Drosophila melanogaster: one gene and its partner. The protein of the gene in region 1 interacts with the protein of each later gene in a pairwise test. Each region holds a gene or a part of one and is shown on either strand. Other genes may lie near its edges.

Region 1 (8,923 bases):
CCCATAAATCACGTGTCTCAAACAGATGAAGTCGTGACCGGAGTGCGTAAAAAACCCAATAAAACAATATAATGCCTGTAAACTAACAATAATAATAGCCCCGCTGATGGAGCACCCGCAATGCCATAAACGCATCACGATGATTGACCAACGTCACCGGCGCTTTGGAAAAATTATGATTTTGCATCTGAGGGCTGAAATTGAGCCGAGTGCTTTGAGTGTCAAGAGTGCGGTTAAAAATAAAATTTAAGAGCCGAGTTGAGACTTGGTCGACGTGCAGACAAGGGTGTACCACCATCGTCATCAAAATCCAAGCCACAAATGACACTCAAAAGGTCTTAGCCAGGCTAAAGAGGGCCGACTTAATTGAATGATCTTGAAACAATTGCTGAATAATTTTATGTCTATTGAGTGGATATGCATTATAACCAACAATTGATAGGGAGTTCCGAAAATGTGTAATCTAGATTTTGTTTTACCTAAGTGCTTCTACATCATTTTATGTCATATTAAACCTTGTCATTTTAAAATGTTTGAATAAACTTTTTAAATATTTCCCACCACTTATTCAGCGTTTTTCAGAACATCCATACCTTCGTGACAAACTCGATGACAGACTCCATGTCAAATCTGTGCAGCCGAGATGGTCTTTGAACGCTTTGATTGGGTGTTATTGACACGACCAAAGTACACACAGCCATGACTTGTTTACTTTATGGTCGGGCTGCGTGTGAGCCAAGAAACCCCAAAAAGAAATAATGTGAAATATGTTTAATTGGTCACTAATTTTATTGATGAATTCTTTTGTTATGAGTTGGATGATTTGTTCCTTTAGGTAGGAGGAATATGCCAGAGAGGTTTATTAAAAGATTTAGAATTGGAAAGATTTGCTTTTAGTTGGTATTTTGGTTTTGCTTTGATTTGTGTTGCTTTGTAGCGTTTTGATAGTTTCGATATACTTAGGCATATTCATTGAAATATATCAGTTAGTTTAATAATACCGAAAAAAATTTACGTATTTTTCTTTAAACCAATTGCTTTGCATATCAATTAATTCTCACTATATCTATTTGTTGTATAAAGCGAAAAGCGTAGTAGGGTTCCATTGATTATGCTGGGGTTATCTAGATATATGTATTAGATAGATTTATTATAAATTAATTCTTGAGTGTAGAGACTGTAAAACATAAAATTTCTTAACGACTACAGATACACTTTTGGACTTTTTGGATTCGTATAAATATTTTCTTTTTTTTTGTAAATGTTAGCATAGCGATTTCTTCATTAAACCTTGATGAATATGTTTGTATATTTAATCAGTACGAATTTTTCAAAACGAAGCCCATTGAAATTTGGATTTCTGGACGTGTATAATGTATGTATTGTGGACAAATTTGAAAATACGTTTAAAAAAGGAATCTATTCGATTATGGTAATAATAAATTAAAGGTATTAAATTAATAAAAATTTTTTATGCATATCGCATATAAAAGCCAAAAATTGTAACAAGGAATTTCAAAAATATAGGCAGCGAAGCATTTACAACTTAATACATTACGTGTATTCATGATATTCGGATTTTACATATATTTTCCATGTAATTTACACGCTCAGCCCAGAAGCTGGCAATATTTCTTGGATGTTGCCTAAAATGTTGCCGCAACATGCCGAGCAATGCGAATAAATACGTCAAATCTTTAAGCGACAGAATACAAATGCTCTGGGCGAATACATAAAAAATCAAATACAATTCGCTATGACTTAAAATTTGTTTTCAAATAAAACTCTTATCACGTCCAGAAATGGGGCCTGTTTTGACTTTTCCAGATCAATTTAGTGGCGCAGCAGCATGTTGCTGACCTTGGCCTCTGCCTTTGGCGACATTTTGTCACGGAATTGGCGATTTTCCGGGTTGGCCAGCACCGAGGCAATGAACTCCGAGGTCTCCAGCTGCAGTTGGGCCAATCGCTTTTGCAGCAGCTTGTTGCGCTGCACCAGCTTGATAGTCTTGATGGCAATGGACAACAGGCCTTCGCTATTCTGGTGGTACATGTGCTGCTCCTTTATGGGATCCTGGCTGTACTCGTACCCACTGTCGCCATCGTGGTCGTCCTCTATCTGGAGCGGCACCTCTCGATCACAGTTTTTGGCCCTGGCCGATCGGTTCTGCTTGCTACTATATCCGCTAGCCGTCGTCGGCTGTAATACTGTCTTGATGTTGTCGCTGCTGGAATGTGGCTGTTGCTGCAGTCCCTGGATCCTGGCATCCGAGTAGCGGTCGTCGTCCAGCTGCATCCTCTGCTCGGAGTCCATCTCCACCTCCGTTTCCACGCCGCTGCTCGTGTCCGTGGAGAAGGAGGACACGCGGGCAAGGATGTGAGGCATCCTGCGCTGTAATCGCGCCGGTCGACGGCGGCTCATCGAGTTCATCGAACCTTTGGCCACTGCAAACACAAAAAGAGGAACAAAGAAACTTAGTTAAGTAGTGAACAAAGAAAAAGCTTGAAAGCTGTACAGTGAATGAAAATCATGTCTAATTTTTGTAAAACAATTAATAATATAGCTAATAATTAACTTTAATTAATTAATCATTTGAGTGTGTAATTCGCAGCTCAAAGCTCGTGAGCGAACTCAGGCAATTTAATAACATGACCTCGTTTTTATACATTGTCTACAAATTGTTGCACGTAAGCGAAATACAATGATTTTAACCCATTTAATGAAGTTTAAAATTAAACTCGTTTCCTGATTTAGAAAAAAAAAAACTAAAAGCACAGCGATTTTCCGAGCCCACGGTGCAGTTGTGTGGTCAAGTGCTTAGCTAATCAGTCGATGTCTACAACATTGTCTGTGTGCATGTGTCTCTGTGTGGGTATCTGGTATGTAAATGTGGTCATCGCGTGTGGGCAAAAAACGTGACCAGCACCAGGGTTAAGCGTTCCGGCGACGACAACGCTTTTTGCACCAATTAGCAGTCGCAACGCTCATTGCAAACATCAGCTGTTGAAAGTCACGAAAAATGAAACACAACCAAAAATATATAAAGCTAAATGTGCCTTACATATAGAAAATGAAATGTAGGTCATACAAACAAAAATATTTCTGCAATTAAAAAATGTAATGAACAAAGAATATATTATAATTTTCATTAGCTGGCTCTACACAATTCATTTGGAATAAGCATGTACACATAAAGTTACAATTCTCTAATGAATATGTATACCTCATATCTGTATGTAAGCGCATAATTCCTGCACACAACGATTGGAAATAGACTGTGTCTATGGTCAGGGTCATGACGCATCTCCTAGAAGTTTACGCTGCACATGGCACTGCACCCGAGGAATCGCTAAAATTGGAACGAAGTCGTTGTCAGGTTGGCCAAATAGAGCTTACGTGATAACGACACCTTGCCCCAGTGCAGCGAAACGTGAGATTGGCTCCGTGAAGGTAGCAGCCAACTAATGACGCCCTCGTGAAAGGTGAAAGGAAATGAGAGAAAGTCGATGACGTATTGTGCGAAGCGGGCTAACACATCATCAGGGACTTCCTGCGCCAGAAACATTTTACGTCCATTTTACGTAATTTATTTTTATTGTTTTTAATACGAAGACCGATTTATATATTTTTATTATTAGTAATTTTTGGTCGAAATAATGGTGCTAATATGAAATATTTCCCTTAACAATAAATAAAGCTATTTTAATGATCAAATTCTAATTGGCGCTGTCTTCAAGTTTCATTTGTGACTTCCGGAACTCATCGGATAGTCTAACCGTCACAGTCAAGGATGATAGAAACTCTTCTGGATCATCAAGAAAATTCGAATGCCGTGATTCGAAAACAGCCATATTCCGATCCAGTTCCTTGTGCAATTCACTCATTAGATTCACAAGATCCTTGACCTCGCCATTGAAATCAGCGATTTCGCGCTTTAGACGACTTTTGGAAAGGCAAGCTGCATTTTGTTTAAGGAATCGTGTGGTGTGAGCGTGGTCTAGTTTTTTTGCATCCGCTTTGGACATCTTGGCATTGACAAGGTAATTGTATCGCTCCTGGCACAACTTCAGTTCCTTGGAAACTTCGCTGGACCAAGCTACATACTTAACGGCTTCAGAATTTAAATCTATAAGATTGCCTTCCATGCAGCGAATCCTTTCGCGCATTTGGTGGATGATTTCGCGGAGTTTCCTATACCTGCAGATCAGTTCGTCTATTTGCAATTGAATGCGATTGTGGGCCTGACGAAGACTCCTGGCTTCCAGCAATTCATTGCCGCACAAAGGTTGGTTATTCGGACAAATGGCTACAGACTTTTCCTTAATCTTAATGTCGATTCCTTGGTTTTTCCGCTGTTTGCACTTTACTTGAGCACCGGCTTCTATTTCTATTTCAGCAGTTTCTTCGCTAATTTCTTCGCTGCACTTCTTAACTTGACGCTTCCTAATCGCTATTTGCATAAGCTCAATCTGTCGAATCAGGCAGTCAATATCGTGTGCCATTTTCACTGGTCGATCATCAGACTGCTCTGAACGATCGAGAATATCCATTTCTTCCTCCTCACCTCCATCATATGAGAAACTGACCTTCTCATCGACGTCGAAGATTTCTAAAACACTTTTTCCACATTTCGAAGTTCGGGATATGAGATCCATTTCGTTTAATGGCATCTTTGCACATTTAGCAATTTCCCCCAAACTTTTAACGTTTTCAAGTTCCATGACTAAGAAAGAACTCTGTTCCTGTTTTGTACTTTAATTTTCATGCGAGTGAAATCAAAAATCTCCTACTACTATGGTTGACAGTTAGTAACTTCATTTGAATTAAAATGGGTTTCTCGTAAAAAACTAACTAATGAAACTAATCGAGTTTTTCGCTTGCGCCTTGGGCTTGGAATAAAAAATTGCAGTTGCTCAACAGAAATTTAAGTTATCTAAAAGATACTTCAATATTAAGAACAAACTATTTACTTAACCCATTTTAAAACCACACTGATAGTGTGTATCTAACATTGGGCTGTATCTAACTTCTATTCACACACTTTAAAAGTACTGGAGTTCTCTTGCCTCGTCATCGCCGCGCCATTGCACGTGCCTCGCTTCGTTCTCTGTGAATTAGTCACCGGTGATGCTAAAATGGAAATAAAATGTTAAATACCTTCAGTGATGGCAGAGGGCGAGGGCATTGGCCAACATTCCAACCCTCCGGCTGCCACGCCCCTTTCGAACGCCGCCTCCCCAGGGAAGGCTGACGAGTTTGGGGGGTTTTGAATTTGTAGCGTCATGAGGCTTGCACGTGGCCTCGTCACACCCATTTTTATTTAAGGCTTGTGTCGGTGTATTTCTTTCAGTTTATTTTTATGTGTTGCTGCAAATTAGCAGGCAGCAACGAGCACAAATAAAAAGGCAGCAACAACAGTGGTGCTTTCAATGAATTCACTTTGGAAATGGCACCAGCAGCAAAGAGAAAAAAAATAGCAAACTTGGCTAAAAGCAAGCGAAGTAAATGTGCAAAACATGTAAATAAAGCTCCGGCAAAAGTGGCACAGCAGCAATAACAACACTGGAGGTTATGACACACACTTATGTGGAAGCCCCGCAGGCCGACGCCCCTGGCTACGTGTGCTTGTGAAATATTTCTTGGAAAATATCTAAGAAAATGTTCGGGCAATTGCACTTGGCTAATGAGTAATCAGTGGGCATCATTTGACTGGGATGTGTAAAATATTCTAAAGACTCTGCAAGTATCTTTTAAATTTCTTTCTAATTGTTGCTCTAAATTTGAGCAATGATCTCCAGAACGCGGTTTGTTGTCTGTTTAATCTCGAATTAATCTTAATAATAATCCATATATTTTAAATCGACTTGATCTGAAAATTTCTATTTTTAGATACTTGATAAACTGTCTTGCCTTCTCGCCTGCTACTCGATACCCATTGCATCCCACTGAGCCCATATCCATTTCGGTGGCAGTCATGCGGCATTAGATCGCTTATATAAATGTGTCAGCCAGATTTGCGAGCCGAGTCTGTCTTACCCAACAGCCAATGCCGGCGGAAGAGCAGCTGGAGCCAATTGCTGACGCAAATTGTTGTGGCATAACACCAAACTCGCGTGCCTTCCATGGAGCAACATTGGCAGTATTAGCATCAATGAAACACCGGAGACCAACACGTGAAGAACCCGATGCGAACCCAATTGTGAACCCATCGCAAAACGCCCATCGCCCATCGCCCATGGCACGTGCATTTGAGCATTCCAGTTCTCTAGTCGAGCCACACATATGCATGGTTATATGGCAATGAGGAAGTGGGAAACGAGGACAGACCTCCGAGAACGGAGGTGGGTGGCCGAGTTTACATAAATTAATTAAACATGACCGAGTAACGTGAGCAGCTCGGCAACTGGCAACTGGGAAATGGACTTGTAACAGTCACAACACCAACGACATCAGCAAATCAGCAGGGGATTCTGAATATAAAGGGTATACCAAAAAAAAAAAATAAAGTAAAACAGATAAGAGACAAGGCGGATATTGCAATGAATATGTAAGGCTATGTTACGTATACGCCGCGTGCGCCCACCGCAAGCTATTGGCACTGAACAAAATTGACTTAAGCTTCTATATATGATAAATTATAAATGAGAGATAGATTTAATTGCGCTTAAATTAATTAAAATTTGAATGTAATACAGTCGTGTGAAACTAATAAAATAAGAATATTAAACCTAACGCGAACTATTGTATTTTCGCTACTACATTTTACTGAGTAATCTCAGTGTTTACTCACCATGGTTGAGCACCGAACTAGCTTGTGTGGCGGCAGCTGCAGATGTGGATCCCACGGACAAGGACGAGGACGATGATGCGGTGGATGCGGTTGCGGATGCTGATGAAATGGCGGCTGTGGCCACGCCATGATGTCGCCGCGTTTCGCGCAGCTGCTTTTTCTCCGAGCATATGGTGGGCGCCATCTTCTTGAGTCTTCTTTTATTTGGCAGCGTGTATTCACACTGAAAGCAAATGAAAGTAGAAGCACAAATTAATTAGCCGCCGCGTTGATTAATTGATAAAACGTTTTAGTGCGTAATTAAGCTGCCGATCTGCACGCGCCGACCAGTAAACAAATTAAAATTGAGTATTCGAATGCAGAGAAACGAATTCCTTTGGGTTCGTTTAACTTTGAGCAATCTGAAAATTATCTGCTGCAGTGCAGTGCGATACTTAAAAGATCTTGTGTTTATTGAGCAAAGGCAGGATATGACGTCGTCATAAATTCGTTTATACTTCGGGGTCGATAAGTACTGGAACCGAAAACTGCCTGGCACCATTATGATTAAATTTTAACAATGAGTGCGTAGGGAATTCCAAATGATAAGGAAAAGGCACCGTCTTACTGAGAATCCGCTGAAGATATATGAATCTTTTAAATTGTACATCTTCCTTGCGTTTCTGTTAATCACCATGAATTGTTTATTTAATCCTCGCTAAATCCAGTTCATTGTTTTCAGCCAGATCAGATTCACTAATACATTAAAACTACATAAATCATTCGAGCCAAACAAAGGTTCAAAGCTCAAGTCAACGTCGTTTCCCTTTCTCAAGTTGACATTTTGAAGCAGTCTGGATATCGAAGCGGAATTTCAGACGAAGCACCCGCCAGCTAAAGCTCATTAGGTGGGCTCAAAATCCTAACTAAAGACCAGCCATCGGCAAAGGTAAACAAACTCACTTGAAGTGGATTTGCAGGGAAGGACGGGTCGGAATATTGATGGACGGGCATTTCGGCGGGCAGGCAAATTTGCTCAAGTGCCGGGAGATGAGTGGAGATGAGCCCCGCCTGTCGGCAGTCAAATTCAAATTGAAAAACGCCCCAAAAACGAGCGGCTGTTGGCGGCACGTGTATCTCTTGAGTGTAATTACATTTGGTAAAAGCGCTCGCGACGATGATGAAATGTTTGTGGCCCTTGATGGCATTTTACCAACCTGTCCCCAAGCCCATTTGCCCTTGTCCGCAATGTAAAATACTTGTGGGCGGCTAAGACGATATCCAGACCCCCTTCCCCTGCCCACCTTCTACGCCACTGACTGTCGGATTCAGGTCGATGTCAATGCGCCAATATGCGCTGAAATTGCTTTTCATTATTTATGCCTTATCCGTCATCCGATAGTTAAAGTCTTAGATGGCTGATCTGCGACTAGGCGTTTGCTCAGTCCACTTAGAGAAAAAGTCGAATCTAAAATATAATTGAAATTTCATTCCGAATTTAAATCTCTTAAATTTGCGCCTGGAAATATAAAACTTCGAAATATTTGGATACGCGTTATTTTATAACATTTCTAATTTATTATCTAACTATCTCTTGCTATATTGAAGATATATATTATGTTAAATAAAAAAGTTGTTATTAGTAAACGCATGCATATTATTATAAATAAATTAATAAGCAGGATTGGTATGCTAAATTTATTTTCTCGGTGCCCATTTGTCCCTTAAGCGGAGCCCGGAAAATGCCTGTAACAAAAGACCAAAATGTGCGTAACAAATACTAAGCCTCAACGAATTGCCCCAGTGGCAAATTTAATGCGGCGCGTGCGGGCCTGAAACGAAAAACAGGGAGGCAGAATCGTAAGGAGGTACCAGGGAAAAAGGACTTCTTCCTGTGGGAAACGCCATGAGCCAGGAAAATGTACAGTGCTTAAAGCATAGAAAAGATTTAAGGCTTAAAGGGAGATTGTGCATAAATTTCAGACACGTTTCACCAGAGACACCTGTAGCTCTGCCACCTGCAAGCTGGAGGTCAAGTCAATCAAGCAACTTTGATGAGATTTCCCGCTGCGTGCCTACAAATTAGCCAATAATTGTTCAACATAACACGCCACAAAAAAACGCCAGGAGAACCAAAAGCAAAAATAAATAAAT
Region 2 (5,494 bases), on another chromosome or scaffold:
TTTAAATTCTATTTTAAGTTCTGTTCAAGCGCGTCAGGAAGCAAACGTAAGGAAATGGTTGACCGTGAATGGTGGACACGTTTCCCACTAATATGGCTGGAAAGCTTAAGGCTTCCTTTTATATATATGATACATATTATTTAAAATATAACCATAGATTTTATAAAATATTATAAATATTTTATTAACACTCATAATATAAATTGCTTAGTTTTGTTTACTCGCCACACTCATTGATGTAACAAAAATGACAAGTAATTTTGAAGTCATTTCATTTTTCATTTGCTTGGGATTAACATTTTTCTTAAAGGACTTTGAGCGTGCATAAAAAATTATCTTTAGCACCATAAAGAACTATATTCACTGCAATTTAAAATGAAAATAAATCTGATCGGGTTAAATGAAAATCGACTCCAAAAGAAAAAATCCTATTTCATCAAGGAATATTCTCTTATTTTTTCTTTTGAATAAAGTTTCCTTTTCCATTTGACTCTTCACCGTCGTTCAGTCAGGGCTTTTTTTCCCCAGGCTACGTGTTTAAAAATATAATCGTATTGAATATTTAAATGCTCGCCAGGGCAAAAGTCGCCAAATACGCTGGCAAAACTGGACGGGAATCAAAATCAAATGCAATGCCTGCGGCTTCGGCGAATGCTGGCTGCCTGTCAGCCTGGCACAAAATTAGATTTAAATATTTTGGCATTTCCCATCAATTTTCATATAATGCAACCCCATCCTTTTCGCTGGGATGCAGGTCCTGTTGCATGGAGGAATGCTGATAGTGAGTGGGATTCGTCTGTGGCAAGTCATTCCAGCCCTACACAAGCGCACACATCGATGTGGATTGAAAGACAGGCGCACACAACCACACATGCTCAATCATTTATGCAGCAATCAGTGCTGACGTCTTTTCCACACGTACGATTACCGGCATAGAGAATCGAGCCCTACTCTCGGTTATGTGGAGCATATTGGGAATCGAAATTGAGTGCGGGTTAACAATGAGGCAGTTGAGATTGCGGCAGCTTCTCTCGAACTTCTGTTGCTCGTGAGTTTCTTGAATTTAAATCAATGGCCCGGGCATCCACTGCGTATGAGTAATATTATACAAGGATGAACAGGTAATTTAATTTAGCTTTTCGGAACAATTTTTTGTTCACAGAATGCAATCAAAACATGTATGAGATAATATACATTTAAACAATCGTTGTCGAATTATTTATTTTATCATGATCCCTACTTTTTTATAAATTGACAATCATTTAAGTAAACAATCCTTTCAGCAAAACAGAAATAACTCCTTTTTCAAGGTGCAACCGTGAAGGACGACTGCACAAAAACTCTATTGGATTATTTGAAGGTTGAAATCAAATTAAGTCAAGTGAATAAATTGACTTTTAGTGCATATAAAAATCGCAAAAAGCGCAAATAAAAATGAAATAAAATTGCGATGGATAAAAAGTTTAAAAGTGAATCCATAGAAATTCATCGTTTGCTGATGACGAAACATGAAAAAAGGAAACTTAAAATTGGTTATATATACGAAATTAACAAGGGAAATTAAACGATCACATAGCAAAGCATTTTTTTGGAAAGTAGTCATTGCATATATTGCTTTCTGAGAAACTTCGTATAAATTTAAATTATTAAAATAAACCGCTAGAAAAATAAGTTAAAATTTGATATCAATTAGAATGGATAACGACAATATGCTCGACTTTACAGACTTAATCAGCTGCAAGGACTTACCGAACATAACTCTGCACAATATCCGTCCCATTTACAGTATAAAGGTTTTCATGTCCGAACCTAAAAACTCCAATGTCTCTATTGCTGAATTAATCAAACGCCAGGAAGTGTCTGCAGAGCAATGTCGCAAGGCACTTAAAGTCATAAAGGACAGACTTCTTCTGAAAATGGCAGCGTTGCAAGAGCTTAAGAAGTATCTGCTGGATTTGCATTCGGAGATCAAAAAGCCCGGTGCAGGGACTCGTTTTGTGACCAATCAGGAGAAAGTTAAATTGCATTTCCTAGACGAGACGGAAATCAGAGAAGTCGAATTGTCTGACGCCGTAGAACGTTGCAATATAAAGCTGAGCTCGCTTTATTGCGAAATCCTGGCTTTGGACAGCGACATGGGCAGTGTCGCCTATTTGGAGAGGGTCGCCCAGATCAACAAAGACTTTATCATGGATTGGCATAAGACTCAGAGGCAGAATAAGACAAGCAACATCCATTGTTCCGGCCAAGGCGTCAAAAAGACTTTTTAATTTGGACTGTTTTAAACTTTACATGTTTCACTCATATGCAATTATTATCGCACTATTCTGGAAAATAAATATTTATCGCGAAAGCAAATACAAAATGTTTTATTACACCTCTCCGAGATTGAATAGTTGAATTTCCAGCAATGAAATTAGCCTTAAGTAATGTGCTCCTCTCTTAAATCCTATCCCTAGGAATCTTTTTTCCCCCTCGACTTTTCCTGCTTCGTGTCCTTCCGTTTCCCTTTTCTCCGTTTACCTGTCACTGACAGCCCGCTGGCCGCTTCATCTTCATTCCCCGTCCATGAATAATCCCTGCGACACTTGCGTTTCATGGCTTTGCATAGTTAGGACCTGTTAAAGGAGGGACCTGGTCCTGGACAGTGTGCTCAGGCATCTCCTCTCTTAGCCAGCGCTTAGCTGGACCTGGGGAGTTGAATCTGTAGCTGCACAGCAAAAAAAATTTTAAAGGTTTCAAAAAGATCTCAAAAAAATGTCCCAAGAGTTTTAAACTCTATATAGAATAGTCTTGAGTTACGTGTCCCGTTCAGGTAGTATTTTTAATACCATTTGCTGGCAAGTTACTAATATTTTCTCTGAGTGTTCAGTTAGCTGGGAACCGGAGCAGGAAGCCAACAACAGGTTGCGTGCCAATGCAGTTTTTCATCGTGAAATGTCGGCGCTGATAGCGATTGTAATTATTATGCTGAACTGCGGGTATGTATGTATGTATGCAAGGGGATTCGCTTTTACGAGAGGCAGAATGGTTCTATTTCAGGTCCTGGCCACTCTTACTTGTTTCCCATTCTTTTTCCGTCTTGTTGCTATCCACTCTCCGACGCATAAACACCGCTAGTTATGCAATAAATAAAATGCAATTGTTGCGTCACAAAAGCTACATAGATGGCAGTGCGTTGGTCAGAAGGGGGGATTGGCTTTTTGGCTCTGGGCTTTTGCCGCCATGTTTGCGAACAACAGCAAGATGGCGCCCCGCATCCGTTATAGCCGAACATCCAATTCCGCGCTCACTTTCGCTGCCTCAGTTGCTGGGCGTCTGCTTCACTTCCGGTTGGAAAAGTTGTTGCATTGTGTGCGTTTTCGTGGAGGTTCCACATCCGCTTTACCAGCTCTCCCAGCTACTCTAGCTTACTTGGCACCGCTTTAATTTGACAAACCATCGCATTTAACGGCCCGGCGTAGTTTATGCTCCTCGAACAGGCAGCGACATCAAGGCGAAAGGTCAAGGAGGTGGCATAAATAATGCAGCGAACAACGAAAACGACAAAGTTGCCAAAGACTTGGACTAACCGGCTGCTGTTGCTGCTGTTTCTGGCCAAAACTCACTTGGCCAGCATAGAAATTGCAGTTTACAGTTGCTAATTGAGTGTGCCTAGTCTGTGCAGGTGGCCTAATGTTGGTAATTAGTGTGAGCCAACTTTGCCAAAAAGATTCCGGCACAAAGTTGCCCAGGATGGGCTTTTGTCAATTGCATAAGTTGCCGTCGTGTCCGGAAAATCTATGTATGAGATTGGATAACAATGAATTATATTTAGCAAACGAATTTCAATTAAAAAAAACACCTTAATTGAGAATGATTCCAGTCTTAGTATAATTTGCTAGGTGGTAAAGGCACCGCTTGAATTTAAGTTACATATTGACTATATTATTATTTTACTCACCCTGATTAGCGTTAAACACCAAAGTGGTTCACATTTTAGCACACTATTATCCTTAGCAATATGATTTAGTGCTTTGTGGAATCTGCTGAATATACATGGAATGACTTTCAGGTGGAGCACATTAAAGCCCATACAGTGATATGCACTCTTGGCTAACTGAAATAGCATGTATAGGCCTTGCTGTGCATTCGGTTTAAACTCGATTAAAGCCACGCACAACGACATCGGAATAATGCAATTGTTTCGGGTATATAGCTGACCAGTTTATGGGCAATCCGAGAGATTTCGAGCGTCTGCAGGCAGGACCAAGCGATCCAGGACACGTGTGCGTGCTTTGTCTGGCCAGAGAGGACAACGAGGAGAGGTTGCCACATGTGGCAAATTAACTTTAAATTAAGCAATTAATTTAATTAGAGCACGGCGAGTGCACAGTGCGACCCCAAAGATTTGCCGCACACGCAACAGTTGCAATTAAGCAGCCTTCGCACACAGATGTCCCCACACAAATACAGGCGTAGTCACAGTAGTGCACACCCCCACTCACAGATACACATATTAACGTAAAACAATGCCGTTTCAGCTGCAATTGCATTTTAAGCGCATGCGGAAATTACAAACTCAAATTGATAAAGCAAAACCTGTGCACATGTGTGGCCCTGGCATATGGCATATGGCAGTAATAAAAATCTGGTTATATAAGGTGAAAAATTGGCTTACGCCTGGGACTCCAGCATGGCCAAAGAAATCCGAGTGCCAGCACATATGAAATCGGAATGCAATTCATTTCTCCATTAACCAATTAAACGCAATTCATCAACTGACGTTCGCAATTTGCAAAAAAATAAAGAAATAACAAAACTATTAATAAGGGATGTAAAAACTTTTACAATTTTAAATTTCCACTGACAGTCAACATTGAAAGGGTTTTTCAGTCAAACGGAAATTTGTTTTCAATTAAGAGTTGATTTAAATTTAACTGCCTTTTCATGACGAACGCATGAAAAATCAGTTATAAATACCTTCTACGGTAATATGCAGACGTTAAACAAATGTATGCTAAAACTTTTAATTTAAAACACCATAAGCTTCTTAACTTTCCTTTGCTTGCCAAATTCTCAACGAAAATCACAAGTCTTACTTTAATGAATATTCTTGCACTATTAAGTTCAAACAAAAGTGAGTAAACTCTTTAATTTACTGGCTTTCAGTCAATGTATTTCACGCCAATGGCTAAGATCCAATTAGTGGCACTTAAACTCTATGTCTGAGTTAAACTATATGGTAGTTAAAACTGTTAAGTCATCAAGCACTTTCTGCGGCATTTGCGGCTGCCAAAAAAGGAAAATTCATCCCCATCAGCATGCTGTACAGCTTTCTGCTATCGAAGAGAATGAGAGATACGGATAGTAAAAAGTTAGACGATTGGTAAGCGGCTTAGTGGTCATTTTGTATACATTTAGACTTACTAGATCGAGTCGGTGCACTTGCCCTGGGCATCTCGCACCTGATGATTTCGGCAGCGAGCGGGTTTCTTGGTAGCCGGCACCGAAG

What was found. Proteins that work in one complex are often made in the same cells at the same time.
Region 2: the proteins of CG14556 (region 1) and CG15124 interact in a two-hybrid assay, tested with the Drosophila melanogaster proteins (one large-scale study listed by BioGRID).

The regions. Positions count from the first base shown.
Region 1 is NT_033777.3:26,122,525-26,131,447, reverse strand, and holds CG14556 (uncharacterized protein), read right to left. Parts: upstream 4,790-8,923; 5' UTR 4,722-4,789; coding exon 3,717-4,721; 3' UTR 3,580-3,716; downstream 1-3,579. Other genes in the region: Cipc (clock interacting protein circadian), read right to left, coding at 1,834-2,444, 6,791-6,974.
Region 2 is NT_033778.4:19,641,344-19,646,837, forward strand, and holds CG15124 (uncharacterized protein), read left to right. Parts: upstream 1-1,603; 5' UTR 1,604-1,694; coding exon 1,695-2,270; 3' UTR 2,271-2,355; downstream 2,356-5,494. Other genes in the region: CG15905 (uncharacterized protein), read right to left, coding at 5,246-5,321, 5,410-5,494.